Linked DNA regions of Saccharomyces cerevisiae S288C. The gene in region 2 interacts genetically with the main gene of each other region. Each region holds a gene or a part of one and is shown on either strand. Other genes may lie near its edges.

What was found.
Region 1: of PHO81 (region 2) and ATF2, extra expression of one rescues a mutant of the other (dosage rescue), as found in Saccharomyces cerevisiae (one study listed by BioGRID).

What each region holds. Positions count from the first base shown.
Region 1 is NC_001139.9:844,580-852,430, forward strand, and holds ATF2 (alcohol O-acetyltransferase), read right to left. Parts: upstream 5,858-7,851; coding exon 4,250-5,857; downstream 1-4,249. Other genes in the region: RBG2 (Rbg2p), read left to right, coding at 1-381; CBP4 (Cbp4p), read right to left, coding at 1,314-1,826; YGR174W-A (uncharacterized protein), read left to right, coding at 2,076-2,162; ERG1 (squalene monooxygenase), read right to left, coding at 2,354-3,844; PBP1 (Pbp1p), read right to left, coding at 6,468-7,851. UniProt on the Saccharomyces cerevisiae protein: Can use acetyl-CoA to synthesize acetate esters from various alcohols, producing ethyl acetate, isoamyl acetate, isobutyl acetate, butyl acetate, hexyl acetate, heptyl acetate and octyl acetate.
Region 2 is NC_001139.9:952,948-959,892, forward strand, and holds PHO81 (Pho81p), read right to left. Parts: upstream 5,264-6,945; coding exon 1,727-5,263; downstream 1-1,726. Other genes in the region: prohibitin subunit PHB2, read right to left, coding at 1-533; NAS6 (Nas6p), read left to right, coding at 1,013-1,699. UniProt on the Saccharomyces cerevisiae protein: Inhibits the kinase activity of the cyclin-CDKs PHO80-PHO85 and PCL7-PHO85 under low-phosphate conditions.

The DNA.
Region 1 (7,851 bases), 110 kb from region 2:
GTCAAATGTCTTTATGTGTATAATAAGATAGATGCAGTATCATTAGAAGAGGTGGATAAACTTGCCAGAGAGCCAAACACCGTTGTTATGTCCTGTGAAATGGATTTGGGATTACAAGACGTCGTTGAAGAAATTTGGTACCAGCTGAACTTGAGTCGTGTGTATACAAAGAAGAGAGGTGTTAGACCAGTATTTGATGATCCTCTAGTGGTAAGAAATAATTCCACTATTGGTGACTTATGTCATGGTATCCACAGGGATTTCAAAGATAAGTTCAAATACGCATTGGTTTGGGGTTCTTCTGCCAAACATTCTCCTCAGAAGTGCGGCTTAAACCACAGGATTGATGATGAAGATGTAGTTTCTTTATTCGCGAAATAGTATAAATGAATAGATTTTAAAGAAACATGAAAAAACAAGATCAGCATCGAGAACTGTAGTACGGAGCAGAGATTTTGCATGACTAAACGGACTCATTTTCCTTGTAGTAGAAATAAATGCTGAAAATAGGTTTTTTAGTGAGAACCGGAAGGTGTTACTTTCATGGTATATTCGTATATACTTTTATAATGTAATTTGAAGAGCTCCGTTCATAAAAATTGTCATTCTGGGCTTCAAATGAATAAATAAACCCGAATGACAATGAAATCTCGAAATTATAATAGTGGTACCTAGTGTAGTAAGTATAAAGGAACCTTCTCTGTTGTATCTCAGAATGGGATACCTCAGTATGACAATACATCATCCTAAACGTTCATAAAACACATATGAAACAACCTTACAGCAAAACGAACAGAATGAGCAACATGAAAATAAAACTCTGCCTTCCTTAGCTAACCTACTCTAACGTATAAGTATCTGAACAATTGGTTTAGATCCAAGATTCCGCGCTTCCACCATTTAGTATGATCCATATTTTATATAATATATAGGATAAGTAAGATCCCGTGAATCAAGCTGATAAACCGTTTTGACAACTGGTTACTTCCCTAAGACTGTTTATATTAGGATTGTCAAGAACCTTGACATTACCCCATTGCATGATGCAATAATCTCATATAAATAACAAGCGCAAGTGGTTTAGTGGTAAAATCCAACGTTGCCATCGTTGGGCCCCCGGTTCGATTCCGGGCTTGCGCAATGTTTTTTCCATCCCCAAGTATGGGAACTAAAATAGCTAAAAATAAGTATGAAGTTATATTTTTAAACCTATTTACAGTGTACAAATAAATAATATATCATAAATGACACAGACGTATGTTTTAGGATGCAAAAGTTCAAGCTGCCCTTCCTAATTGAGTGACCCGACCCATCTACCAGAAGCGCCACCAGCTTTTAACCTGCTTATCCTGGACTATTTCCTTTGTTTTCTCCTCCGTTTCAGATCTTAGCTGAGACAGTTCATTTCTGATCCTAGCCAACTCTTCTTTTTGCACCTCCTCCGCCCTCACCTTAGCAAAGTGATCTCTGCTTTGAACGTTATCACCGTTCCTTTCCCAAGGTGATTGAAGGGGGCCCGTCTTCCAAATTGGATCGTCACTTTGAGAAGTTTCCTTAACAATTTTCATCAAAGCCTGCTGCTCCGACTGACGTAGTTTTTTCTCCCTCTCATATTGTAAACGTAATTCTGGGGAAAGCTGGCTGATTAACTGTTGATCTGTTGGCGTTGTGTACTTGAAAAGCAGAAACCCGCTTCCAATAATAGCGCCACCAATTGCATAGACTTTCAACCAACGTACCCACAATGGTCTTTCCATACCCAAATAATGCTTATACTGTCTTTGTTTTGCTATTACTGCCTCTCTAGGAGTTATCGCGCACTGCATGTATATAAAATTTTATCTTGATAAAATACCCCGGGGGATGAGCAAAAAAAGGGATATGGGGAATGAAAAGTGAGATAAACTAGCAATAATCTATTCTAATAAGTAGAACATTCACAAAGACTACTATGGTGTAATTCTGAAAGGATTTACGAGAGCACAAATACTATTATGTATAATTCTGACTGCAGAATCCGGCAAGCTTGATTTAATATCACTTAAGGAAGTAATATCGTTAATTGATAACCGAATATGAATCTCAATGCATATTTTGAAGCATATCAAGCCATTTTTCCTTTTCTGTTGGAGGCATTTTTAAGGAAAGAACAAAAAGTATAAAACACTTCGGTTAATAATAAATGATATGTGAATTTTTTTGAAAATATGTAAAATAAATAAGTAATAAATAAAAATAAGATGTGTTTATCGTAATGTACTATACAAGCCTTCCAAGCCGACTTCTGTAATAAAAAAAAAAGGTGCAGCTTAATGTTTGACGGTTCCTATCCTCTCTCCCTTATAAGCTGTAGTTAACCAATCAACTCACCAAACAAAAATGGGGTGAATACTCTAATAGCTGTGATCAAAATCATAATACCTTCCAATAAAGCCATTGGTAATCCCAAGAAACCACGTTCTTCCATGTTCAAGTAAATGGTGTAAAAAGCGACAGCGAAGAAAACCCTGGTCAATTGCAAAGGCTTTGGCAAGACACCAGACAGAAATTCAACGGGTTTGTTGACACAATCGCCACCTCTTTGGAAATATTTGAAACAACCTTTTTGTAATGCCTTCAAGTTATCGCTGTCAGCAGCGAACAAAGAATACAAAGCCACTGACAAAACGTTAATAACGGAATCGTAACTCTTTCTTTCGAAATGGTAGTCTAGTAATTCATCCAAAACCTTTTCACGGTCGCTGAAGTCTAGGTCACCTATTTTCTTAATCAACAAGACAACATCATGCAAACCGACAGTCATACCACCACCAGTCAATGGATGTCTCATATTTAGAGCGTCACCGATAACACACATACCAGTGACGTCGTTTTGTCTAGCTGGCAAGTAGGAGTTTGGCATAGCTCTAAATTTACCTTGGCTGACGGCTTCATCAAATGAAGGACGTAGACTCTTTGGAATGAAAGGTTGGACATCCTTAATCATCCAACTCTTGATATCAGCTGGGACCTTTGGAGAGTTGTAAGCACAAAGGATTCTTGTTTCTTCTGGACTGATTTGGTAAACCAAGATTGGCATATGATCACTACCAAGAATAACGTGACCGTGCATAGGAGCAGGATTCTTAGCATTGAACAAAGACATACCGACAAACGAAGAACCGACAGTTGGAACATGGTCTGGGTGCAATTCCTTTCTGAAACGTGAAAAGATACCGTCACAGATAAATGTCAAGTGGGCTTTGAATTCCACCTTGCCACGGCCATCAATGTCAACCTTGGCACCAACAACCTCATTCTTTTCATCCTTCAATATCTCAATACAGTTACCTTGCACTCTAGTAACATTTGGCTCTTGAGCAGTAATGTTTCTCAAGTTGTTCAAGAATCTACCATGAACAAAAGCAACACCCCTTTCTCTTTCATCATCTTCGTAATCCTTGATGTGAATAGTGCTGTCTTCCAAGACCTTGTCATTACCATCTTTGACCAAGTCCTTCAATTTTTCAACTTTAGGGATATCGGCCTTGTAAGGGTATGGAATATCAACTTGTTCGCCGTTGAAAAAGACGGTATAACCGGTAACAGGATATGCTTCGATGTTGTTGATAGATTGAATCATACCCAGACTTCTCAATGCTCTAACACCACCTGGTTGCATCAATTCACCAACAATTCTATCAGGCATAGCCCAGTCACGTTCTACGATAAGAACTTTCTTACCCTTTCTTGCTAGACCAGTAGCAACACATGGACCGATAACACCAGCACCGATGACAATCGCATCGTAGGTAATTGTGTTGTCGGCATTAATCAATTCAGGTGCAACGTTAACAGCAGACATGACCCTTTTCTCGATATGTTTTTCTGTGATTTTTTTTTTTCAATTGTTCGAAATAACCTGTATTGTTCAATACTGGACAATTGTTCTGATATATATATATATATATAATTTTCAATGAAAAAAAAAAAAAAAAGAAAGAAAATTAGAAGCTAGAAAGAAATAAGGAAAAGGAAAAGCAAACAACAATAGGAAAAAAAAGCATAGAAACATATAATAGATTAAATACAAAAGATTTATTATACATGCGAGGTAAGACTATTGTCTAAGACTTATACCCGACCGAGAGCAGCCACGGCATGCATCGACTACGAGCGTATTGTGTTATATCAGCTCTGTCCGATACACTGCTTGCCTTTTGTACGAGCTCGGCCGAGCTATACGAAGGCCCGCTACGGCAGTATCGCATTAAAGCGACGCAAATTCGCCGATGGTTTGGTAGAAGAGCTTGCAGAACGATTCCCATTCGCCACGATCCCGTAGAGTGCCCTGAACCACGCTCATGTCCATGTTCATACCATTCACGTTTGTGGAGCAAACGTTTAGGCCGAACGCAAATCTCAAGGCGCCTGCAGACTGCGAGAAGATTAAATCCCGAACGTAGTACGGCTTGGTCGTATCTTGCGAGACAAGTCCTGTATTACTGATGATTGCACCGCCTCTTTGCTGGTGCAAATAAGAGTTGGCAAGAAGGCTGTCTATATTCTTGTTTTCAACGATAAAATCAAGTTGTAGGACCCCCAGACCAATCAAGTGGTCACCGTTGTCGTACGATTCTAAAAAGCGGTCATAGTAGTATTCGACAAGACTCCAAAACTTGTCATTGTCACCTTCGGGAATGTCGAATGAGGAGATTAGATAGGCGTAATGCGAACCTCCAACGTTGGAGCCGTATTTATAAGAATCTCTTAACTCTTCATCGTTTGGTAAAAACCTTCTTGCGTTGCTTGGAATAGCCACATCGAACCCATACTCGAGAAGAGATTTTGTGAACAGCTTATCCAGTCTATACAGGGCTACAAGAAAGCACGCTTGAATGAAGGGTGTTAGGGTGCACCCATCGTGAACATTTTTCTTGATCTGAGCTCTGATTTGTTCTACTTGCTTAGTACTGAAATGCAACAAGTAATTGTAACTAGCATTAGCATTACTAGAGGGGCTATATCTAGCTGTAAGTGTAGATTCGCTGGAGGTTTTAAAATTACAATGTTCATAAATGAAGGTTGTTAAAAAGAATTTGGGTAATGAAGTCAATGCTGGCTTGTAGTCAATACGATCCGTAATCGGTTTTGGCAATTTAGAAATTTCAGTGTAGTCTCGATCATAGTCAATGATGACTTGATCTTCGATGAACTCTTCATCATAATCAAACCCTTTTTCTTCGATTTTACAAAAGAGTAGAGCTAAATCTTTGAAAAAATTCGATCCACTGACACCGTCGGAGCCGCAGTGGTTAGTGACATAAACGAAGTTTTTCCACGTTTCAAACCCATCAGTATCCTTACCTGGTAAACAAATCAATCTCCAATTAGGCCTCTTCGGATTACCCAGAGGTATGATTACAGGGCTAATCAATTCGATTAACCTATTGGTGACTTTGAAATCATCCTTTTTGAACTGTTCTGAGATTTTCTCCATGACTTCTCTGTATTCTGGTTGATTATTCATAATCAAGTCATCGAATTCAAGATGAGAAATCACCTTTATGAAATCATGCTGTGGAAAAGGTTTACTAAGGTACTCTTCGCTAGAGTAGTACGCTTCATGATGAGGATAATGCTTAGGAATGATTGTATGCGCAAGAGTTGAGTATTTTTGAAGTAATACTTTCAAGACAAGCATTAGTTGTCTCTTATTAACACCTTTATTCAATTCCGCGTAAACAGTAAAATTCGAGTACATTTTCTGCCTACTCAAAACAGCAAAGTAGTTTTCCAAGTGGCCCATACGTCTTGCATGGCCACGGTCTATCAACTCTTGAGTGATATGTGGTTCGTATCCTTCTATATCTTCCATAATTAACCTGGACAATTTTTATTGCTGAAGTTATTATTCGTTTGAAAGTCTCAGTACTGTTTGTACGCATTAGGAATGACATTGCTGTTACTGCAGAATTGCCCTACACATTTGTTGTTGTCTTTTAAGTAACAATTTGCTCTATTTTCACAGACCTCGAAGAAACGTAAATCTTGACAACAAATGTTTACGATCGTTTAGGTGTATGAAAAAATATAGAATACCAAAATAGGAAACTCGTTGAATTCGTTTACTCATTATCCCGCAATATTTATCGGTGGCCTACAGAGTTCAATGTAGCCTGAGATTGTGGCGATTGAAATACTGATTACTTAAAATTTGCTAAAGCCTGTTCTATCTGAAGAAAAAAAAAAAAAATGGATGAGCCTTCCAGTTCATTGAAATTCTTCAGTTCTTATTTTTTTTTCAAAAAGAAAAGTTTCAGTACCCTGTTCCAAAAAAAATGAAAAAAATGAAAATCCAGTATCCTTCCCATAAAAATTAAAAGTTCCATTATTTATGGGTAAGTAAGTACCACTGATTATATACCATATTTATAAAGTGCATGAATTTATTACTATATATTGCTTTTTCTGACGTGCTTCCTTCACTATTTATGGCCACTGGTACTACTATTATGGTGGCCATGGTGGCTAGTTTGATGGTAATTTCTACTATGGCCATGACTGTGCATTGCCGACCCGTTCGCTGGCATGCCAGATGGACCTGATCCCATCATTCCTTGGAAGGGTATCCCTCCTGGATACCCGAAGGCACCCATAGGAGCGCCAGGGCCAGCTGCCATAAAACCTGCAGGGACATGGGGCGAAATATTTCCTCCTCCTTCTTCAGCCCCATTGCTACCCATAACTGGCATCATTTGAGGCATAGATGGGTGATAAAACATTGGCTGAGGTTGAAATGGCATGTACATACCCATTGACCCAGCAGCAAAGCCATTCATCATCGGATTTGGTGATGCCGATGGACCTCCCATCGGAAAGCCCATCATCCCGCCCATATTCATGCCCATAGCTGGATTCATACCAGGCACAGCATTGCCCATGGAGTTCAATTGGCGTTGTTGGAACCTAGTTTGAGCTTCTTGAATCGCCGTATCCTCATCTGGGAAAAATGTCTTATACGATTCTTCAATTGTATTTAACCAGGTTGGCGCAGTAAAATAAGGTTTTTCAATAAAGAAGGGTTCCATATTCTCCGAGGCATCATCGCCTTTCTTCTTTTCATCGTGGGCCTCCTTGGATTTGATGAACATATTAAAACTTTTTCCGAACAACACTCTCTTGGCGTCATTAGTATGAGGGTTCTTGGCACCAAAAAAGGAACCATGATTACGTCTTCTCAATGAAGTACTAGATCTCGTGGTATGGCCGGTAGATGATTGGCCTTGAGATATGTTGCTGCCACTTCTTCTAGATTCTGATTTCCCTGCAGAAATCTGTGTAGTAGGAGAAACAGTCTTGGCCGAAGGGGTTTTGCTGATCGGTTTTGGAGGCAACGAAGAATTAGATTTTAATGTAGAGCTTGACCTTTTTAAGACTTCTAGCATGTCTTTTGGAATATCATATGGAACTTTAAATTTCTCGGAAAATTTCTTCAACTCTTCAATCTGGGCTTCTTTGCTACTCAAACTTTTCTTATTCTTAGAAGTCTTTTGTGGGGGTTTTCCCTCTGGCGCACCTGCTGCTGCGGGAGTAGAGGTATCCGTGGAAACGGCATTTTCATTTTTGTTAGAATTACTCGAAGAGATAATTGCTGGATCCATATGATGAGGTTGCTGTCTTAAAGTAGGTGGGACATACCTATTCCCCTTGTTGGAATTAGGCTTAGAATTGCTTTTTAAAGCGGCCAACAACTCATCTCCTCTTCTATCAACACCAGAGTATAAGTCTTCTTCATCTAGACCAGAATCATCAATTATGATACCTCTGTCCTCTGCAATATGAATATTACCGGAAGTTCCTTGCGATTCA
Region 2 (6,945 bases):
GAAACTTTTTCTCTTTGAGTGATTAATTGTGACGCATTAAATTGGGCCACTACAGCCTTTAAAACTTCATTAACAATGGAAGGCAACACTCTTTCATCGTAATCCTGACCTAAGGTTCTGTATATGGTGGGCAATTGCACCACATCCGGTCTTGAAAGTACTCTACAGGTGATATTCACCATTTGTAAGTCTTTGGTACCTGTTAAAGAAGCAACATTACGAGGTTTTGCTCTCACATCATAAATAATTGGTGTGTCAAGCCAAGGGAAAATGAAGTGAGTACCTTCATTAAATATCCTAGAGGAAACACCATGTATTCTGGAATAAACAATGGCTCTATGACCACCATCTACATTGAACAGTGCATTATTAATGAACAGTGCACCACCTCCGAGTAAAAGCAAACCTCCCAAGCCTGCAAATGCCCCCCTTGGTGAAGGCACTTGACCTCTGCCTCCGGTTTGCTGTACCTTGGACAATTGTTTTTGGAACGCCTTTGCGTACCTTTGGAACTCACCAGGTGATCTATTCATCAGCACTAAATTATATTCTTTTCTAGCAGCCGCTTGCTTTTATTTCGTGAGCTACTAAAATACAACCTCCCCTGTAAAACTCTTCTGATGTCCTTTATGGTTTATGAATTGCCCTTTTTTGCTATTATTTCCCTTAGATGCCAAAATGAGCGATACAAGAAAAGTTTGCCACTCTATGTCGTTGATAGTGATTATGCAACACAATTACATGCAAGCTATTAAAATATCGACTAAACGGATACGGCCACATCGCAGTATTACTCATAGCAATAGAGGAAGTAGAAAGTATTTAAATGGGGCCACTCAAATTGCACACTGCTTTATGTAATCTGATTTCATTTCTATACAAAGAATATCTCTCTTACCCGGCTGTCAAGTATGATCGAAGGGCCCTTCATAAAAGGGTTCTTTAAAGAACGATCAGCTGAAGCTGTGATAATAAATGCTACATAAATGCATGCCCTTAAAACTGTATAACCATGTCTAATTATCCTTTGCATCAAGCCTGCATGGAAAATGAGTTTTTCAAGGTACAAGAGCTGCTACACTCCAAACCTTCCTTGTTGCTACAGAAGGACCAGGATGGCAGAATCCCTTTACACTGGTCAGTTTCTTTCCAAGCACATGAAATTACCAGTTTTTTGCTTTCTAAAATGGAAAATGTTAACTTAGATGATTATCCAGATGATTCTGGATGGACACCTTTCCATATTGCTTGTTCAGTGGGGAATTTGGAGGTGGTAAAGTCTCTTTACGACAGACCTCTAAAGCCTGATCTAAATAAGATAACCAATCAAGGAGTTACATGCTTGCACTTGGCAGTTGGTAAGAAATGGTTTGAAGTATCCCAATTTTTAATTGAAAATGGTGCGTCCGTAAGAATTAAAGATAAATTTAATCAAATTCCATTGCATAGAGCTGCGTCGGTGGGTTCTTTGAAATTAATTGAACTATTATGCGGTTTGGGCAAAAGCGCTGTAAATTGGCAGGATAAGCAGGGTTGGACCCCACTATTTCATGCTTTGGCTGAAGGGCACGGTGACGCAGCTGTATTGTTGGTGGAAAAGTATGGTGCAGAATATGATCTTGTAGATAATAAAGGCGCTAAGGCAGAAGATGTTGCCCTTAATGAACAGGTTAAAAAGTTTTTCCTAAATAATGTATAAGATTTCAAAACTACATATTACAGAACTTTACATATCAATATTATTCTCAAAAAGCAACTCACAAGCGTAGTAGATCCCGCTGTAACCTCCATCAGCTGGTATTTGGTCATTTTCCCCGACCGATGCAATCAACAGTAGTCCGTTTTGTTTGATGATCCTAGCCAACGACGGGCATATCTTCAGTACTTCATATGGAAGCGTTACACCTAACAAATTATTGTTCATAGCAAATTGAACCATTGTATGTATGTTTATTAGTTCCGTGTTTAAATACGACATTTTTTGAGGATTTACGGCCAGTTCCTTTAAACAATTAGGAGTATCACCTACAAATTTGCCTGTGGTTGAATCTCTGAGTAGATTTTTCATTTGCAACAAAACCGGAAAATTGGGTTGTTTCCAGTTAAGGATCGAGCAAGCTTCCCAATTGCATGAACTGAAAACTATTTGGCGCATACTCCCACTTCCGCTGTGACGCAAAAAACGTTCATGCTCGAAAATGATTAGTAAAAGCTTATCAATGAATTGATTGATATTTATAAATGGCGATATTTTGATGGGAATTGTGTCAATTTCCTTATCTGTAGGAAAATATACACGAATTACCAGCTGGGCTGACCCGGGAATAACTTCTAGTAGGCTTCTGAGAGGCACCACTCTCGAAGATAAGTATTGTTTCAATGTTACTTCATCGAAGCTTCCATCAATTTTACCGAAGTCATAATCCACTACCTTTTCCAATTGTTCTTTCGTTAAATCATTTAACAGAATCTTCGTGCCTTTGAATTCAACGTATGGTTTTGGCGCAGCCACTATGGTTTCATCATTCAGAGCGCAAACTAATACACTAATAAAACTGCCATTCAACGATGAAGAAGTAACAAAATTACCGTCTTTACTAGAGGTCATTAAATCACTTCCTGTAGATTTCCAATACGGCTCATAATTTATGATTTTCAGTGGATTTCCCGGATAAGGAAAAATAATTTGGTAATCCAAAGTGAGAGATCCAATATTATTTAGTCTTGTGTCGAATAAGGGTAAATTCATGGTTGCAATACTATTTATTGCCACCTTCTTGAAAAGGAATGGCATTGCCGTTGTTTTGGCAATTATCCTTGTGCCAAATGAAGGAAATATCTCGAAATCCATTGAAAAATCGTCGATTGAATCTACTTGGAAAATTATCTCTCCATCATCATGATCTTCACTAATTTCATCATCATCTTCTTCATCATTTGTTTCACTGATATCCTTACAAAAGTTATTAATTTCGCCAGATCTAACAGGTAAAATAACATTTCGCGGTATTATTTCAGGTAAGTTTGAGGATAAAGTAATTCTGCCTGGTGATGATGACATAATAATGCCGTTATCCTGAGTCAACTTGATAGACTCGAGACCTGGCCTCAACTTTAATTTGATGAAAATTTTTTTCTCCAAAAAATTATGACCATATTTCCTTAGTGGAATGATTGGCGGTGGTAAAGCAAAATCCGGAATGCTATCTTGAATGTCTAAATCAAATTTGTCATCATTTGGGGTTAAATCTATTGTATTAAGGCGTTGCGTACTAGACTGCGAATTTATTTCATTCAGGGGTGCAGATGGCAAATTTAATGGTCTTTGTAAAAGTGCATTCAAAACATCAACGTGGCTCTCCCATAAGGCGTAAAAAAGTGGCGAATGGCCGTTGTCATCTTCAATATCCAGACGTGCATTATGTTTCAATAGTTCAGTAATAACTTCAGAATGACCTGAACGAACAGCGTAAAAAATGGGCGTCCATTTATTAAACCCATCAATTTCGTTGGGATCCGCCCCATAACGTATCAATAGTTGAATTAATTGTGGATCGCCGCCAATTTTTGCCACTATATGAAGAGTGCATAAACCTGTTGAGTTCTTTTTGAAAAGCGGTTGACACAAGTGTTGTGAACTTTTGTTCTTGGCATTATCAGCATTTTGCTTACTCCGAATTTCTAAAAGTAACTTGGCGGCGTCATGATTATTAAATTTACAAGCAACATTTAAAGGATCGAACTGGACTTTAGTAGAGCTGATTACATTCTTACTATAATCCAGAATTGGCTTTTCAATGGGTGATGCGTTCGCACCACCAATAGTCAGCAGATCCCTAACAACATCTATGTGGTTGTTAGTGATAGCCAAAACCAAGGGTGTCTTAGAATCACTATCAATGGGATCAACGTCCTCTAAAAGATTGGTGATTAGCAACGAGTGAACAAATTCCAGTTTTCCTAGCTCTGCAGCATAATGTAGCGGCACCCGCGAATGTATATCTTGGGCATTCAGTAGTTTTTGTACTGTTTCTTTAGATAACTTTGATGTTGTTAAAGCCTCATCTAGAATAAATAAGCGTGATTTTTCTGGACAACTTGCAGCCTCGTGAAATACGTTTTTTCGTGAAAATACTTGATCATCTTCGTCACAATATGACAGATCAATATGATCCTGATTGCTTTTATAGAAAATATGCAGAGAGTTATCGTCCAAAGGACTAGCCACCAGTAATAAAAACAGCGTCGTTAAGCACTCCTTCAACAAAGAAAAGACATTTTTATGAAAAGATTCTGAGGAATTTTGTAGCAGATATGTGAATATCTTGGTTTCTCTGAAGTTTCTTAGTAGTGCATGCTTTCTTTGAACATCTTTCACCGTGGCTATATTCAAAATTTCCTTATACCAGTTTTCGATTTCCATCTCCATGTCCAAGGAGGAGGAAGATGCTTGAAAAAGATGTTCAAGTTGGTTTTCCGAAATCTTTGATGTTGTTAATTCATAATTATTGTGTAATATGTTATTATTATTGTTGTTGTTGTTGTTGTTATTATTATTGTTATTATTATTATTGTGTTTATTATTGTTGCTGGTATTATTGTCGTCATCATCGTCATTAGTAAACGTACTGGATTGTATGTCTGCCCTTCTATTGTTGTTGTCAATATCATTCAGCTCTAAGAGAATATGTAAAGTTTCATCGTTTAATTTTAGTGGCCCATCTCTGGTAAAAATTGGTTGAATGGAAACAACAGTAGCAAGGTAAAAATCTTTATCGTGAGATTGAGATCTCTTGTCCCATTTCTTCAGAGCTTTTGAAAATCCCGTTTTATTTAACTCAACATACTGCTCCAAATTTCTAAGATCCTTTTGAAACTTTTTGAAAGCCGCATATAAGTTTTTAAATGAGGTAGCTTGGTTTGAGTTTAGCTTACCATTTATCTTATAATCTTTATATTTTGAGTGTAATATATTGAATTTTATTCTTAAATCGGACTCTCTCGCCAAATAATAACCATTTACTTTTTCCAGCTCCCTCTCTAGTTTAAAAAAAAAGGCAGCTTTATTTTCTTGCAGTCTCTGATGTATAATTTTTTCGTCGATGTCATCTAATGTTAAATGCAAATCTAAATCTGAACTAGCCTTTAGCGTGGGAATGGCCAATTGTTTGATAAGTTTCTTTAGAGCCTTATAATCAATAAAATGGCTGTTGTACTCCGCCAGTTCCAACTGCCTGGCTTCCAAATACTTGCCGAATTTCATTGCACGTTTATCTATCTATGTTGCCTCCAAAGGGTTATTCTCTCAAAAAGCTCAATCACTGTGGAACCGAAAAATAATGTTATGAAGATTTTTTGAGCAGTATGTCTTGTCAAAAGCTCAACTAGTGCAGCTGATGTTGCTTAAAAAAATAAAAACCAAATTTTTCTACTTTGCTCTTGTACGTTGCACAAAGAAGATTATGTAACAAACTTGAAGGGACTCTCAAAAACTTGCTATAAATTGTACAAAAGCCTCAATATCACCTAGTAGTGGTTCTATACCTGTCTCGAGCCATCGCCAAATAGTTGATAAATTTGATTAATTTCTGCCCTTATTCGCACGTGCCATAACACCTGTACCTCTCACGCTAAAGACCTTTATAATCAAGGAAACTTGTTGCTGCAGAGGAAATAGGAGGTAATGAATTGTGATAAGGCACATCACATCAATTTTTCTTGCATTCTTGCATAGAAAGATAGGCTGATGCAATTAGCGCGTTTCAATCGCGTGCCAAAGACGTATATACTAAGCAATATAACCGAATTGATTAAGTAGTTGGTTAATTGTATATTTTGTGATAAAGATGGTTAACTGACTTAGGCGGACATAATAGTAGAAAATCTATATAATTTTTCCCATGCAGTTGTTATTACAAAATGCAATTCTTGAGATAGCACAAGCAAGAATAATAGGGCACGGTACGTTCATTCACGTAGCGTTAGCTAGTGCTGCCACAAGGTAAACGTACGATTATATTCATTTTTGAAACGGAAGTTCTTTGTAACCCTCATGCTCGTTTGATAGTCACTTAACTACAAGATATTCTCGTTCAGTGATTGCTTGCTTATAAATCAGGAAACTTCATTTTTATTCCTTACATTTTCGAAAAGCCCGCAAGGTTTTCTTCGCCACGCTCAAGCATTCATCGTTGAAAAGCAAAACTGTGCACACTGTACCTTAGGCGACTCTTCTCCGAACAAGCTCATGGCTCATTTTTAAAATCACAAGCTTCGTATAATTGCCAAGACATAATCTAATTGAGAAGGTCAGACGGCAAAACAAATGACCGAAATCTTCGTTTATTGGTTCGCCTGCGTTGCCAACTGGTACATTTTCCCAGAGTACCAGCAAAGGAAGGCATCCTTGATGCCTACTCTGATACTGTGGAGGATTTAAACTGAAAATGATAGTCTGCGCGGCAAATCTTTCTATTTCTACTAAAGTTGGATCCTCCGGCCGATATAACGTATTCTTTTTATCCAATAATGTCAATTTTAAATGCTCGATTACTAATCGTTACTAAAATAGCGGACGCGCTTATGCGTCTTCGACGGATAGTTTTCAGATCATCCCTCTCAGAAAGCAATGCAGGAACCGCCTGTAAAACTATCTTTTGCTGGCACTCACACATTATGGTATTGATGCCACCTGAAAATACGGAAATTAACCATTCCTTGTACGGAGATCTAAGAGCAACTATTATTGAATTGTTGCCGTTAAAGTTTCATTTCAGTTCCGTGTGTGGTCAAGTACAAGACTACTGATGAAATATGTTGTACACACACGGAAATATATATATATATATATATATAACAATATTGTGGGTTGAGGTGGAGACTTGATTTTTCTTATACAGTATATTCTTGTTCATTTTTTACCATTTTCAACAAACCACACAAAGA